Linked DNA regions of Anolis sagrei. The protein of the gene in region 2 purifies or fractionates together with the protein of the main gene of each other region. This does not show direct contact. Links are inferred from orthologs where the notes say so. Each region holds a gene or a part of one and is shown on either strand. Other genes may lie near its edges.

What was found.
Region 1: the proteins of SIGMAR1 (region 2) and NPC1 purify together in Homo sapiens (affinity purification with mass spectrometry; 3 studies listed by BioGRID and IntAct, with this or other methods). This does not show direct contact. The link is inferred for Anolis sagrei from reciprocal best matches to the Homo sapiens genes SIGMAR1 and NPC1.

What each region holds. Positions count from the first base shown.
Region 1 is NC_090024.1:59,675,001-59,683,379, forward strand, and holds the start of NPC1 (NPC intracellular cholesterol transporter 1), read left to right. Parts: upstream 1-4,649; 5' UTR 4,650-4,752; coding exon 4,753-4,824; intron 4,825-8,379. UniProt on the Homo sapiens protein: Intracellular cholesterol transporter which acts in concert with NPC2 and plays an important role in the egress of cholesterol from the endosomal/lysosomal compartment.
Region 2 is NC_090022.1:300,379,146-300,387,453, reverse strand, and holds the start of SIGMAR1 (sigma non-opioid intracellular receptor 1), read right to left. Parts: upstream 3,850-8,308; 5' UTR 3,767-3,849; coding exon 3,604-3,766; intron 1-3,603. Other genes in the region: GALT (galactose-1-phosphate uridylyltransferase), read left to right, coding at 4,068-4,098, 7,674-7,843. UniProt on the Homo sapiens protein: Functions in lipid transport from the endoplasmic reticulum and is involved in a wide array of cellular functions probably through regulation of the biogenesis of lipid microdomains at the plasma membrane.

The DNA.
Region 1 (8,379 bases), on a different chromosome or scaffold from region 2:
CTGAACTGAAGGTCGGTGGTTTGAATCCTCAAGACAGGGTGAGCTCCCGTCTGTTAGCTCCAGCTCCAGCAGGCATGTGAAAGAAGCCTCCTACAGGATAGTAACACATCCGGCCGTCCCCTGGGCAATGTCTCTGCAGATGGCCATTTCTCTCACACCAAAAGCGACTTGTAGTTTCTCAGGGTTGCTTCTGACACAATGCAATGGAGTTTGTTTTTTTTTAATTATGTCTCCCAGCTTGGAACTTCTTTCATATTAAGTGCAGTTTGGCCCTCCAAAGGTAGAGAGTTTTTTCCCCATTTCAAATATGCTTTTACTACTTCATCATACTAGAGAATGAATCCACTTTAAATCTAGTTGCAGAATTCTGGGGTTTGTAGTTTAGTGAGGCTGTTTAAAGGCTGCTCCCTAAACTACAAACCCCAGAATTCTGCAGGAGGCAGAAACCGGATTTAAAGTGGATTCATTCTCTAATATGATGAGATCCTTAGTTAGTCTTTCAGTATATTGGTGAGCAGTATTTTATCCAAGCTATATACTAATTTATATGACATTAAACTATAGGGATTTTTAAAGAAATGCTTTTGCATGCTGCTGATGTAAAAGTCTAGAAGGATCCTAGTATGAACCATGAAGCAAAGGGCAAAAACTTGTCCCATTGATTATTTTATTCACAAGAAGAAAGTCCTCACTGTGGTCTGTCATTTACAGGATTCATGCAAGTAATCTAAAAATCTGAATATTAGTCATATCCTTTTGTCTCATGGTATATTCTATGTAGGCTCCTCTATCACACAACAGTGAAAATCTATTTAAATGATTTTGCTTCTGTAACAAAATCTTTGTTTTCCTATTAAATTTAATTAGATGGACTTTGGATTTCTTCATATCCTTTACATTTTAAAACAGGATGACAATATTTATGAACTGAATCATGATAACCTTTCTAAAAATAAGTATTTTCACCAGCTGATGGTCCCAAAAGGTCGGTTGCGAAACACTGAGTGGCATTTGTGCTGACTGACACACAGACACTCCTGCTTAGTCATTTGGTTACTACTGAGTCAGATAACAAGCAAGTTAACACTGTCATCCAATAGTAATAATGTCAATACTAGTTAACTACTTTATTTCAGCAACACACACATTTTGTATCCATGTAAACAACATACTGGACGAAATTCTCCCATGCTCCATCTCCATCGGTTCTACAATCTTAAAAAGCCAAACATCGCATAACAGTATATAGAATGGAGCCAGTAAAATGTATAATCAAGAAGATGGAAGTGTGGCAAGAAAGACAACTTTCTGCACTTTTATCTGAGGGTTAAGACCTCTGTAATCAGTTGGTTTACTCTCTCTCTCCCCCAAAAATGTGTGCAACAATGTTGTGGATCTAGTGCAATGTTTCTCAACCTTCCTAATGCTGTGATCCCTTAATATAGTTCTTCATCTTGTGGTGACCTCCAACCATAAAATATTTTTGTTGCTACTTCATAACTGTAATTTTGAAAGTGTTATGAATCTTGATGCAGGGTGTTTTTTCATTGACTGAATCAAATTTGGTACAAATACTCAATATGCTCAAATTTGAATACTGGTGGGATTGGGAGGGGGATTGATTTTGTCATTTGGGAATTGTAGTTGCTGGGATTTATAGTTCACCTACAATCAAACGGCATTCTGAATTCCAGCAATAATGGAATTGAACCAGATTTGGCACACAGAACTCCCACGACCAACAGAAAATACTGACCTTGAGTTTTGGAGTTGTAGTTCACCTACATCCAGAGAGCACTGTTGAGTCAAACAATGATGGATCTGGACTAAACTTGGCACAAATACTCAATATGCCCAAATGTGAATACTGGTGGAGTTTGGGGGAAATAGACCTTGACACTTGGGAGTTGTAGTTGCAGGGATTTATAGTTCACTTACAATCAAAGAGCATTCTGAACCCCAACAACTATAGAATCGGACCAAACTTCCCACACAGAAGCCTCATGCTAAACAGAAAATACTGTGTTTTCTGATGGTCTTTGGCAACCCCTCTGACATCCTCCTTGTGACCCCCACCCCAAATGGGTCCCACCCCCCAGGTTAAGAAACAGTGATCTAGTGTTAAAAATTATCAGCATTATTAAAGGTATTATACATCGGCAAATAATACTTTTTAGATCATCTACCAGAGACACAATAGAAGGGACTGATAGCTTTGTCAGCCGTACTTCAGATTGGAGTGAATGGGTCAGAATGGGTTTGCAGCCACAATCTCAGCACTTTCCTAGGAAGATTAGATGAAAGCTACACAAAGGTCATCCTATAATTTTTAAACACAAAACAACGGGAGTGTCACAGACAAAGATTTACAGAGCAAGGGGCCTGCAAACCAAAGGCACGTGAGGAAGAAAGACATCCAGGCCTCTCAAGTAATGACACACTGGAAATAAATGGAAGTCGGCTGTTGTAGGACAAACACTCCCATTGTTGAAAGAATTGTGATACAATCCAAAACAGCAAGACACACCACAATGCTGATCGCTCAAGCACATCACATGCTTTTGTGAGCACAAACAAAAGCAACTGTATTATAACTGGCATGGAAATCCATAAAAGATTGTTTGCTTCCAGGGAGCTAGATCTGAAACTTTCAAATACCGGGATCAATCCAGTGTCGCTTCCCTTTTTCTAAGACCTTGTCTACACTGTCATGTAACTGCAGGATATGGTCAGTACAGACTCACGTGATGCAGTTTGATTGCAGTTCAGAAAGGCGTCTATGGCACTTCCAGACGGCTTAAGGAACTGCGTAAGAAATCTGCTTCTCCAAACTTTTAATGAGCCTAAATCTAGATCCAACTCCTTACATGTGAAGTATAAATTTCAATAAAGTTTTGCTGATCCAAGAAAAACATGTTTTTTTTTCTTGCAACATCTATTTAGTTTCCAGCTTTGGTTTAGAAAAAAAATATTACCTGCCTCCGAGTCTCACTTATCCAACATAAATAGGCTGGCAGAACGTTGGATAAGCGAAAATGTTGGATAATAAGGAGAGATTAAGGAAAAGCCTATTAAACATCAAATTATATTAGATAAAGGTTTTCTCCTGACATTAAGTCCAGTCGTGTCCAACTCTGGGGTGTGGTGCTCATCTCAATTTCTAAGCCAAAAAGCTGGCATTGTCCGTAGACACCTCCAAGGTCATGTGGCCAGCATGACTGCATGGAGCACCAGCGGGAAAGTAATCAGGATTTTCTTAGGCAAGGAAGACTCAGGGCCCTTCCAAACACAACCTATATCCTGGGATCTGATCCCAGGTTTTCTGCTTTAAACTGGATTATACGAGTCCGCACTGCCAGATAAACTGAGATAAACAGAAAACTTGGGATCAGGTCCTGGGATATAGGGCCTGTCTGGAAAGTCCCTCTGTTGTTGTTAACTACCTTGATTAGCTTTTAATGGCTTTGCAGCTTCAAGGTCTGGCTGGTTACTGCCTGGGGGAATCCTTTGTTGGGAGGTGATTAGCTGTCCCTGATTGCTTCTTGTCTGGAGTTCCTCTGTTTTTTTGGATGTTGTTCTTTATTTACTGTTATAATTTTAGAGTTTTTTAAATACAGGTAGCCAGAGTTTCTCCATTTTCATGGTTTCTTCCTTCCTGTTGAAATTGTCCACATGCGTGTGGATTTAATTGGCTTCTCTGTGTAGTCTGACATGGTGTTTCCACAGATATGGACATTCCACAGATATAGGTAAAGGTTTCCCCTGACATAAAGTCTAGTCATGTCTCACTCTGGGGGTTGGTGCTCATCTCCATTTCTAAGCTGAAGAGCCAGTGTTGTCCATAGACACCTCCAAGGTCATGTGGCCGGCATGACTGCAAAAAGCGCTGTTACCTTCCCGCCTGAGTGGTACCTACCGATCTACTCACATTTGCATGTTTTTGAACTATTAGGTTGGCAGAAGCCGGGGCTGACGGCAGGATATTATAAACCCAATTTTCCTAGTTTCTAACAGACCTCACAACCTCAACCATAGATGCAGGCGAAATGTCAGGAGAGAATGCTTTTGGAACACGGCCATACAGCCTGGAAAATTTACAGCAGCTCAGAAGTTGAAATGGTCCTTTCTCTGGAAGGGTGGGATTGCGAAAGGATGGGACTAGGGAGGAAGAAGGCAACATACAATTAAAAATAATATATTAAAATAGCATAAAAACAACATAAACAATAATAAACAAGCATTCTAAGCAGCAACAGACTCATATTTGGGGGAAGGGAGAGTGGGCCAATATGCAAAACTAGTTAAGATAGCCTTTAACAGCCCCCCCCCCTAAACTACAAAGCCCAGAATTCTGCTGGAGGCAGAAACCGGATTGAAAGTGGATTCATTCCATAGTGCAGGCATGGGCCAACTTGGGCCCTCTTTCCAGGTGTTTTGGACTTCAACTCCCTACCGGCTGTTAGGAATTGTGGGAGTTGAAGTCCAAAACACCTGGAAGGAGGGCCCAAGTTGGCCCATGCCGGCAGACGAGTCTTATTTGCAAGGCGAGGCTCAAGGGCGGAGGAACCGGTTCCTGGAGCCGTCCTCGGGGGAGGAGCTCTTCAAGTCACCCCACAGGAAAGGGGCGGCCTCCTCCTCCTCCTCCTCCTCCTCCTCTTTGGGGGCGGGCTCACTCTCTAGCCTGGCCAGGCCTTTCCGCTCCCAGGCTTGTCCTCCTGACTCCCGGCGTTGCTTTCTCAGCTCCCCTCCGAGATGGCGAACCGGGCCCGCGGCCTGAGCCTCCTCGCCGTGGCCTCTTTCCTGGCGCTGCTTCTTCCCGACAAGGTGAGTGAGTCCACCAGCAGGCAGGGCTCAGCCACACCGCACCTTGGTCGCGGGTTGACAGTTGTGGGGTTCCTGGGGGTAGAAGGAGAGGCAGCTCGAAAGAAAGCCCGCAAGTCCCAGCATTAAGCCTTTCAAGCGCTCTGCTGGGTCCGCACTGGGCCAGGGGAGAAAAAATCCACTTAAAATCCGCTTGCCTCATCACACTAGAGGAAAAAAATCCACTTGAAATCCGGTTTCTGCCTCCCGCAGAATTCTGGGGTTTGTAGTTTATTAGATATTTTGGGGTTTGTAGTTTATTAGATATTTTGGGGTTTGTAGTTTAGGGAGGATATCAAATTCTGGGGTTTGTAGTTTAGGTAGGCTATTATATTTTGGGGTTTGTAGTTTAGGGAGGATATTCAATTCTAGGTTTTGTAGTTTAAGAAGACTATGCAATTCAGGGGTTTGTAGTTTAGGGAGACTATGAAATCCTGGGATTTGTAGTTTAGGGAGGCTATTCAATTCTAGGGTTTTTTTAGTTTAGGCAGGCTGTGCAATTCTGAGGTTTGTAGTCTAGGGAGGCTATGAAATTCTAGGGTTAGTCGTTTAGAGAAGCTATTCAATTCTGGGATTTCTCGTTTAGGGAGGTTATTAAATTCTGGGGTTTATAGTTTAGGGAGGCTATCAAATACTGGGGTTTGTAGATTAGGGAGGCTATCAAATACTTGGGCTTGTAGTTTTGGGAGGCTATTAAATTCTTGGGTTTTAGTTTAGGGAGGCTATTAAATTCTGGGATTTGTAGTTTAGGGAGGCTATTCAATTCTGTGGTTCGTTGTTTAGAGGAATATTCAATTATGGGGTTTCTCATTTAGGGAGGCTATTAAATTCTGGGGTTTCTCGTTTAGGGAGGGTATTCTTTTCCGGGGTTTGTAGTTTAGGGAGGCTATGACATTCTGTGGTTTGAAGTTTTGGGAGGCTATTAAATTCTGGGGTTTGTAGTTTTGGGAGGCTATTAAATTCTGAGGTTTGTAGTTTAGGGAGGCTATTAAATACTGGGGTTTGATGTTTTGGGAGGCTATTCAATTCTGGGGTTTGTAGTTTAGGGAGGCTATGAAAGGCTTCTTCCTCAGCTACAAACCCCAGAATTCTGCAGGAGGCAGAAACCGGATTTAAGTGATTTTTTTCTCTCTAGTGTGATGCAGCATTAGTGGGTTTACAAAGAAGCCCTCCTCAAAGGGGGCAAAAGGTCAAGAAAATACCCCAGAAATGTGCTTATTAGGACTGTTTAAACCAGACATGGGCCAACTTGGGCCCTCCAGGTATTTTGGACTTCAACTCCCACCATTCCTAACAGCCTCGGGCCCTTTCCTATTCCCAAGGAAGGGCCTGAGGCTGTTAGGAATGGTAGGAGTTGAAGTCCAAAACACCTAGAGGATCCAACTTGGCCCATACCTGGTGTAGATACTACATGGCAAGGGGTTGGACTAGATGTCCCATGTGTTCCAACTCTATGATACACCCAAAGAGACTGGGAATGGAGTGCTTTGTGGGTTGTGTGGTGGTGGCATTCAGCAGCAGGATGAGTGAGTGCAAGAGAGATGATTCAGGGCTGCAGGAGAGGAAAACAACCCCAAGTGTCTCCCCGTCCAATGTTTACCTTTCTCCAAGGTACAGGCAGTCCCTGAGTTACAAATATCTGACTTAGAAACAACTCATATTAAGAACGGGGTGAGACAATAGGAAGTGAGAGAGAAATTATTATCCTAGGAAGGGGATAATTCACTCCTGACAGAGTTATCATAGGTCAGTGGTTCTCAACCTTCCTAATCCCATGACCCCTTAATACAGTTCCTCATGTTGTGGTGGCCACCAAATCATAAAATTATTTTCATTGTTAATTCATAACTGTAATTTTGCTACTGTTCTGAATCATCATGTAAATATATGATATTATTATATTATTATTATATTATTATAACTTTATTTGTACCCCGCTAGCATCTCCCAAGGGATTCGATGCGGCTTACAGCAGGCCAGAGCCCAACACAATACAACAATACAGTACATAGCAAATAAAACAGTTAAAGCAGAAAACAATAAACAATAGCAATGCAACAGGACAATTATTAAAAACTGAGCCGGCCGGAGTAGGGGTACAGGATTAAAAAGTGCTGAAGTGTCGGAGGGATATGGGATTAAAATCAAGTGCAGTGTGCAATGAGCAGTGATCTTGGCTCTACTAAAGTGCTTCTGGGGTTTGGTAGTGGGGTTCCTAATCTGAAAAGGCACGTTGGAACAGCCAGGTTTTCAGATTCTTTCTGAAAACCGCCAAAGTAGGGGCCTGTCTGAGATCTTTCGGGAGGGCATTCCAGAGGCGGGGGGCCACCACAGAGAAGGCCCTGTCTCGCGTCCCCACCAAACGCGGCTGTGACGCGGGCGGGATCACGAGCAGGGCCTCTCCTGATGACTGGAGTGAGCGTGTGGGTTCGTAGACAGCGATGCGGTCACGCAGGTAGGGTGGTCCCAAACCGTTCAGGGCTTTGTAGGTAAGCACCTGCACCTTAAATTGGGCTCAGAAAATGAACGGCAGCCAGTGGAGCTCCTTAAACAGGAGGGTTGACCTCTCTCTGTAATGGGCCCCCGTTAACATGCAGGGTGTATTTTCATTCACTGGACCAAATTTGGCATAAATACCCAATATGCCCAAATTTGAATATAGTGGGGTTGGGGGGGATTAATTTTGTCATTTGGGAGTTGTAGTTGCTGGGATTTATAGTTCACCTACAATCAAAGAGCATTCTGTACTCCACCAATGATGGAATCGAACCAAACTTGGCACGCAGAACTCTATCTGATATGCAGGATGTATTTTCATTCACTGGACGAAAAATTGGCACAAATACTCAATATGCCCAAATGTGAACACTGGTGGAGTTTGGGGGAAATAGACCTTAACATTTGGGAGGTGTAGTTGCTGGGATTTATAGTTCACCTACTATCATGGAGCATTCTGAACTCCACCAACGATGGAATTGAATCAAACTTGGCATACAGAACTCCCATGACCAACAGAAAATACTGGAAGAGTTTGGTGGGCATTGACCTTGAGTTTTGGAGTTGTAGTTCACCTACATCCAGAGAGCATTGTGGACACAAAAATTGATGGATCTGGACCAAACTTGGCACAAATACTCAATATGCCCAAATGTGAACATTTGTGGAGTGTGGGGGAAAATAGACCTTGTCATTTGGGAGTTGTAGTAGTGGGATTTATAGTTCACCTACAACCAAAGAGCATTCTGAACCCCACCAATGATAGATTTAGTCCAAGCTTCCCACACAGAACCCCCATGATCAACAGAAAATACTGTGTTTTCTGATGGTCTTTGGTGACCCCTCTGACACCCCCTGGTGACCCCCCCCCCCAGCAGTCTCAACCCCCAGGTTGAGAAGCATTCATTGATATACTGCCTACGCACTCCAGGACTCCCGGCCTCTGTTTCTGTTTTGCTCTCAAAGCCACAGACAGAACAGGTAAGCAGAACTTCTAGGGAACATTGGCTTTGGTTGCTTCCT
Region 2 (8,308 bases):
GCCCTGAGTCCCCCCTCGGGGGTGAGAAGGGCGGGGTAAAAGTAACTGAAATAAATAATAAATAATAAGTGAAAAACCATGAATTTAAAAAATGCATTTTTTTTACCTGAGAGAACACTTCTCTAGGAATGCCTAGGCCAGGCATGGGCAAACTTTGGCCCTCCCTACAGGCGTTTTGGACTTCAACATAATAAACATAATTCCTAACAGCTGGTAGGCTATTAGGAATTGTGAGAGTTGAAGTCCAAAATGCTTGGAGGGAAGGCCAAAGTTTGCCCATTCCTGGTCTAGGTTTCCAGCACAATCCTATGGTCAATTTCCACTGGAATGGAACACAGAATCACATTAGAGGACCTAGAAATTCTTAGAAAGGTATTTTTTTTCTCAAAATCTTTTGCCTAAGTGGGGGAAACTGCCTGTAGAGTCACACTGGGAGACCTAGAGAGAACATCCGTGTTATGACTTGCCATTCTGGGAGACTTTTCTTCCTCCCTGTTTAATAATTTACTAAGAGTGATAAATCAGAACAGGATGAGAAATAATTAGTAAACAGAAGAGGGAAGATGCCAAGACGTAATAAACCATTAACAAAATACCAATGAGGAAAGGCAAATACAGAAGATGAAGAGAACCCCACAGATGAGAGGGAAGACGCATAAAAAATAAACATAAACATAAAACACAACAAAATCCTAAAAAGGCAAAACTGCAAATGTGAAGACCCTATTTGCAAAAATGATCAGTTGGAAGAGCTCCCTTTTGGTTACCATTTTATTGCCCTGTCAACCTTTTCATGTGTGTGTTTTCCATGGCAGGCATTGATCATTGATCTAAAACTCTTCTAAGACTACGGTTTTCTATTTATTATAGAATCATAGAGTTGGAAGAGACCTCGTGGGCCATCCAGTCCAACTTCCTGTCAAGAAGAAGGAATATTGCATTCAAAGCACCCCTGACAGATGGCCATCCAGCCTCTGTTTAAAAGCTTCCAAAGAAGGAGCCTCCACCAAACTCCGGGGCAGAGAGTTCCACTGCTGAACGGCTCTTGCAGTCACGAAGTTCTTCCTCATGTTCAGATGGAATCTCCTCTCTTGTAGTTGGAAGCCACTGTTCCACATCCTAGTCTCCAGGGCAGCGGAAAACAAGCTCTCACATATTTATACATGGCTATCATATCTCCTCTCAGCCTTCTCTTCTTCAGGCTAAACATCCCCAGCTCTTTAAGATGCTCTTCATAGGGCTTGTTCTCCAGACCCTTGATCATTTTAGTCGCCCTCCTCTGGACACATTCCAGCTTGTCAATATCTCTCTTGAATTGTATGAAGAATTCATAGTATTCTTCATACCATTGCAATTTATTACTTAAATCTTGTCCCCTTCACCATGAAAATGAATAGAATCTGGTTACCAGTATTAAAAAATGCCAAAATCAAGACACGAAACAAGGAACATGAAGGGGACAATGGACACCTCTTTAATTTGATTAATATATAGCAATGGTATGAAGCATAGTTTGATCAAATAAATAGGCTTAGTCTTTAGTGTTAGAATCTGCTATGAGAAAAACAGGCTGACAGGGCAAAGAAAGGCAACCACCTTCTTTAGAGATTCGGAGAGCTCAATTGAAGGTCTGGAAGGTCAAATTGGAATTGGGAAGTTGTGTTTTCCTGAGCTGTTTTGGTAAGCATCTGATCAAATGGTGCCATGTGCAGGATGAAACAAAATGAAAAGGAGAGGGGGCGTGAGAACAAGGATGTTTGTGAAGTGCACTGTACCTGCAAAAACTATAAGAATCCTATGTAAGATCTCATTTTGGTGTGCGGCTTTCCTTTCAGGATGGTCACCTGCAGCTGATTTGCAAATAACTCTGTGTTTTTCTGTCTACGCTGCCTTCTAGTTCCTTATTGGAAACCAAGACTAGGGGGTTCCACAAGCTTTGCCTGCTTAAAAAGGGGTTTCGCACGTTAGCCTCTTCACTCTGGAGTATTAGCTCTCCCTCCTAATTTGGTGTCATCTGCAAACTTGATTGGCATGCCTGCTAAACCAGGCTTGGGCAAACTTGGGCCCTCTCTCCAGGTGTTTTGGACTTCAACTCCCACAATTCCTAACAGTCAGTAGGAATTGTGGGAGTTGAAGTCCAAAACACCTGGAGAAAGGGCCCAAGTACTGGTATAGAATCCTAGAGTTGGAAGAGACCTGGTGAGCCATCCAGTTCAACCCCATTCTGCCAGCAAGCAGGAAAATTACATTCAAAGCACCCCCGCACCATCCAGCCTCTGTTTAAAAGCTTCTGTGTAGGAAAAAAAAACCCTTTGCTATGTAGGAACCCTGTGTAGGAAAAAAAAAAACCCTGTACTGGTATGGCTGTACCAGGAGCTCCAACTTTATTTTCTTTCTGTTAAAGTTTGCAATCATAGGGCAGGCCACCTGTCCATCTTAATTAAGCTTTGGTTCCGCCCTTGTTCAGGGCTCTGGGAGGGAAAGGAGCCCTTTTTGGTCAGTCTCACACAAGGTAGCTAAGCTATATGATGTAGACCAGCTCGTCCCGTAGAAAAGCTTCCTTTCTCCAGAGCATCCAGGGGAACAGACCATTCGGGTAAACAGAAATTCCAGGGAAAAGGTCCCAAGGCTCTGGCTGAGAGCTCACAGCCTCACAGCAAACAGAGGGAAAACAGCCCTGAAGTTCTCAAAGAATTCTCTGAGGGAGGACAGCACTACAGATCCATGGAACTCCATCTGAAATATCTACAAGCCTTGGCTGGTAGGTCTACTTGATACCCAGACGCATTTGGAATCGGTAGTAGGACCCACACTGATGAGGCATAGATAGTAAACAGCCTGGGAAAGGTTAAAAAGGGGGTTTTTTTCCTACAGAGAAAGTACAGTTAATTAAAGTCAGGTGCCAGCCCATTGAGGACTAGACTAAGAAAGCCTTGAAGTGTTGTTTGAACCATTGAAGATTTGTTGTTTGTTCCTTAATAAAGACGTATCGTTAAAGACTCTAAAGACCATCACTTCAGAAAAATCCCTGAGAACCTCTCTTTGAGGCTTCCCGCTGGGCTTAAAGTATACGTCCTATAGAAAAGACAGCTCTTACAGGCCCAGCTTCCAAAGAAAGAGAAAGCTAAGGTTTTAGTGGACCGCAATGGACTGATTTGGATGACGATTTGAACCGGCAAACTGTTTTAATGCATATTTTATGTATATTTATAACTGTTTTTAATGTATGCTAATTGTATTTAATGTTATGTTATTATATTGTGTCGGCATCGAATAGCTGCCTGTTGGAAGCCGTCCTGAGTCCCTCCCAAACTGAGGGCGCCTCCAGGCCACAGCAGCCAGGCCACCTCCAGGCAGATACCTTCACTGATTGACTTTGCAATTGCCAGTGAAGACCTCCCAAACTGAGGGTGCCTCCAGGCCACAGCAGCCAGGCCACCTCCAGGCAGATACCTTCACTGATTGACTTTGCAACTTCATGCTGTCCAAAATTCCTTTGCACAGACAATAAAAGAAACTACAATCCCTGGACGGAGCCTGCGCCTACACTGAGGAACGAATGCGGGTCGGTAACGCTGCCAGGGCCAGGGGAGGCCTACCCACCGGCGTGGTGCTTCCCGAGCCGGGCGATCTCCTCCGGGTCGAACTCGAAGCGGCGGGCAGAGCTGGAGGCGGCGGCCCAGCTGCGCAGCACCTGGACGAGGAGCGCGGCGGCGGCCACGGCGAGGGCCACCCGGACGGAGCGCGACCCCGGCAGGCCCCTCATCCTGGCCGCGGAGGGCGCTACGCGAGCAGCGCCTCGGAGGGCCCACCAGGCCGCCGCCAAGGACAGGCACAGCCAATCACCGGCGCGGGCCTCTTTCCCGCTCTCGGCGCGAGACAGAAAGCAGCCAATGGCGGCGCTCCTCTCTTTACAGCGGCCGGCCAATCGCAGTCCTCGCTTTCGGGCTCGCCCGATGGCTGGGCGGGGAAAGTGACGTGTGTGAATCGGCGCGCTTGATTGGCGGAGGTCTTCAACCAATCGCGGATGGGATTGGTCACGTGAGCGCCCCGGCAGGAAAAGCAAGATGGCGTCTGAGGGAAAGTTCCAGCCAAGCGGTAGGTAGGGTCTCCCTGTCTATTAAAACAAACATGTTGAAATATTGATTTTATTTATTTAAAAGTTTTGTATGCCGGCCTTCTCACCTCTCTTGAGGGACTCAGACCGGTTTCCAACCATAATATCACATACAATCAATAAAACATCATAATACATATTACAGTAAAACATTAAAACAGCAATTACAATCAATAACTACAATGGTCAGTCGTCACACTAAAATCCTTGCTCATCATCCTCCATCTGTATCTCAGGGTGTTGGTTCACTCATCGAATGCCTGTCTCCATAACCACGTCTTCACCTGTTTCCTAAATGTCAGAATAGAAGGGGCAGTTCTGATCTCCAGTGGGAGAGAGTTCCAGAGTCGAGGGGCCACCACCGAGAAGGCCCTGTCCCTCGTCCCCACCAGACGCGCTTGCAGGGCCTCTCCAGACGATCTTAATAATGTATTGTCGAAGGCTTTCATGGCTGGAATCACTAGGTTCTTGTAGGTTTTTTCGGGCTATAGGGCCATGTTCTAGAGGCATTTCTCCTGACTATCTTAATAATCTTGATGGTTCATAGGGGAGAATACATTCGGAGAGGTAAACAGGGCCGGAGTCGTTTAGGGCTTTATAGTAGGGCTGTCCAAACACGGAAAAAATTGTTTCTAAACTCGATTCATTTTTAGGGGTTTTTTGCGTTTCGTTATTTAAAAGAATTCCGAAATTTTCCTTTAAAAAAGTTCGATATTTACGAAATGTCGGAAATCATAAAACAATTACGAAACTATTACGAATCAATTACGAATCGATTCGTTAATGGCGGCCGCGATCGCGCAATACGCTAAAAAAACTTCTGAAGCTTTCCTCTCCCTCTGTTGTTGACTGTTGGTGTGATAATTATATTTTTTTTCACTGAGAAAACAAACAGCAACCCTAAAACTTGCACCAGGCATGCGGAAATAATAATGAAACATTTACAAATCAATAACGAATCAATTACGAAACAATTACGAAACGAATTGGAAAAATTTGTTTCGTTTTTTAGTTGCTCCTGAATGGTTCAATATCGCTTCGTTATCCCAAAAAAAAACAACGAATTTTTAACGAATTAGGAAATTACGAAACGAAACCGCCCAGCCCTACTTTATATTTTAACACCAGCACTTTGAATTGTGCTCGGAAGCTAATTGGCAACCAGTGGAGCTGGTGTAACAGCGGAGTGGTGTGCTCCCTGTACCCAGCATCCGTTAGTAGTCTGGCTGCCGAGCGCTGGACTAGCTGCAGCTTCCGGGCAGTCTTCAGAGGCAACCCCACGTAGAGAGCGTTGCAGTAGTCTAAACAGGATGTAACCAATATCTGAGACGGGCGTCAAAATACAACAATTTAAAAGCAATAACTAAAACTGACTGGTCTGGCCAGCTGAATGAGGATTGGAACCCTTGTCCCTGAAGTGATAGCTCTTTGCTCAAACCTGGTTCCAAACATCCTCTCAGGTGCCTGAAAGAAAAGTAGATACGAGACAAAGAGGGAAAGGAGAGAAGTAAGAAATAAAGAACGGAAAAAGAGAGAAGATATTCAGATTTCAGAAAGCTGGGATGGTTTGAGGAGCCCTGCACTATTGAATAATGCAGATTGGCACCACTTTTAAATCACCCTATTTATATTTGTCGTGTCAGGGCAACCAGTCAATTATATTACATTTCTAACAGAACAAAGCAAACAAACACACAAAATTTCTGAGTTTGGTCGTTGATTAAATGTCCTTTGAGCAGTATCTGGCCACTTGGAGTGCTTCTGGTGTTGCCGCAAGAAGGTCCTCCATTGTGCATGTGGCAGGGCTCAGGGTCAATGGATTGCTCTTTTCCACACTCGCATCTCGTGGATTCTACTTTGTGGCCCCATTTCTTAAGATTGGCTCTGCATCTTGTGGTGCCAGAGCGCAGTCTGTTCAGCGCCTTCCAAGTCGCCCAGTTTTCTGTGTGCCCAGGAGGGAGTCTCTCATTTGGTATCAGCCATGGATTGAGGTTCTGGGTTTGAGCCTGCCACTTTTGGACTCTCGCTTGCTGGGGTGTTCCAGCAAGTGTCTCTGTAGATCTTAGAAAACTATTTCTAGATTTAAGTCGTTGATGTGCTGGCTGATACCCAAACAAGGGATGGGCTGGAGATGTCACTGCCTTGGTCCTCAGAGCTTGGGATGCTTGTCTGTTCTTAAGGTGGAAGCCACATGTCTGTCTTTTAGATGGATTAGGGATCAGCTGGTTTTCCCTGTAATAGGCAGTAAGAGCACCTAGAGCTTCGGAGAGCTTCTGTTCAACCATCTCAAAGCTCCCTGCTTGAGCAGTGATGGCACGATCATCAGCATAGATGAAACTCTCTGTCCCTTCTGGCAGTGGCTGGTTATTTGTGTAGATGTTGAACATGGATGGAGCAAGCACGCTCCCCTGAGGCAGGCCGTTCTTCTGTTTCCGCCATCTGCTTCACCTTAACCCTAACCCATTTAAAATTCTATTACTAATAGTAATAATTCTAGTTGGACTTGTAGCTTTTTCATTATGTCCTCTATCACTTCCGGCATCACCTTTCTGGCCATCCTCTGAGATATCATGGATGTATGATACCTAGTTATTAGTCTCACCTTTTGCTTAAGGGATACATGTACGAGGGGTATTTTTTAAGTAAGGTCCGTTTGAACATAAGTACACAACTAAAGTTTATTTAGTTTCAGAAAGTACATACTTACTCTATTTTTCGACATAGTTGCCAAGTTTGTTCAAACACTTATCATACCTCTGAACCAATTTAAAAATACCCTCTTCATAAAAACTTGCCGCCTGCTACGATAACCAAGAGTTCACTGTCTGTTCTCACGAATCCTCGTTTCAACTGAAGCCACCAAATCGTCTGTAATCAAAGAAGGGCGACCAGAGCGGTCCTCATCATGGATGTTGTCACAGCCATCTTTGAATTGTCGTACCCACTTACGCACTTTGCTTTCGCTCATAACAGTATCACCATACACTTCACAAATCTGTTGATGAATTTCTGCAGCAGTCTTAAACATTTTTAAAGCACAGAACAGAACGGTACAGGTTAGCTGCAGAGCGGAAATTGAGCACAGTTGTTCCTGAGGCATGCCGGAACATGATGCATGCGCTCGTTGCGGTATGCACGCAAACTACTAGTGTCTACAACAAAACGGACCTTACTTAAAAAATACCCCTCGTAGGTATGGTGATTTGCTACTGGTGTTCACTACAATGCATAGCATGTCTGAGCTTTGCCTCTAAGTTCATGCCAATGTTCCTCCATTTATCTGTTTTTTTTCCTACTGAATTTTTGCCAAAATTAAGATTGTTTCTGAGAGTAAGAAATGCATGGTTATTGATGGCTTTGATGGCCAGAATCACTGGAGTGTTTTGCCAGACTGTCAGGAGAAAATGCTGCTAGAATACACCCATACAGCCTGGAAACTACACAACACTCCAGCACCTGGTTACTTTGCTGTGTGTTTCTAAGGCTTCACCTTTAAAGAGATTGGGGTGACCTCTTCTCCTTCTTTCCCTCTTTTCATGGTCTGGCTTTGGCACAGAACACCAGCACCTGCGCTACAACCCGCTGCGCGATGACTGGGTGCTGGTCTCTGCTCATCGCATGAAGCGGCCCTGGCAAGGGCAAGTGGAGGAGTCAGCCCAGGATGACGTCCCCCGCCACGACCCAGGCAACCCCCTCTGCCCAGGGGCACAAAGGGCCAGTGGCCAGGTAACTGACTGTCACGAATACTTTTTGAATCTTAAAAATGCCCTTTAATCCATTTTCAGTGGGACAGAGTACATCAGGCACTTTCAGATTTATTTATCGTGTCAGAAGTGAATTGAGAATACAGTTATAATGCATACAAGAAACCACGAAGTTAAGAGCTTGGCATTGTACTAATTTTCCTTTGACCAGAAGTTGGCCACTTCAAGTGCCTCTGGTGTGGCTGTAAGATGGTCCTCCATTGTGCACGTGGCAAGGCTCAGATTGCATTGTAATAGGTAGTCTGTGGTTTGCTCTTCTCCACACTTCCACATCGTGGACTCCACTTTGTAGCCCCATTTCTTAAGGTGGGCTCTGCATCTTGTGGTGCCAGATCGCAGTTTGTTCAGTACCTTCCAAGTCGCTCAGCCTTCTGTGTGCCATAGGGGAAGTTTCTCATCCAGTCTCAGTCACTGATTTAGCCTGCCA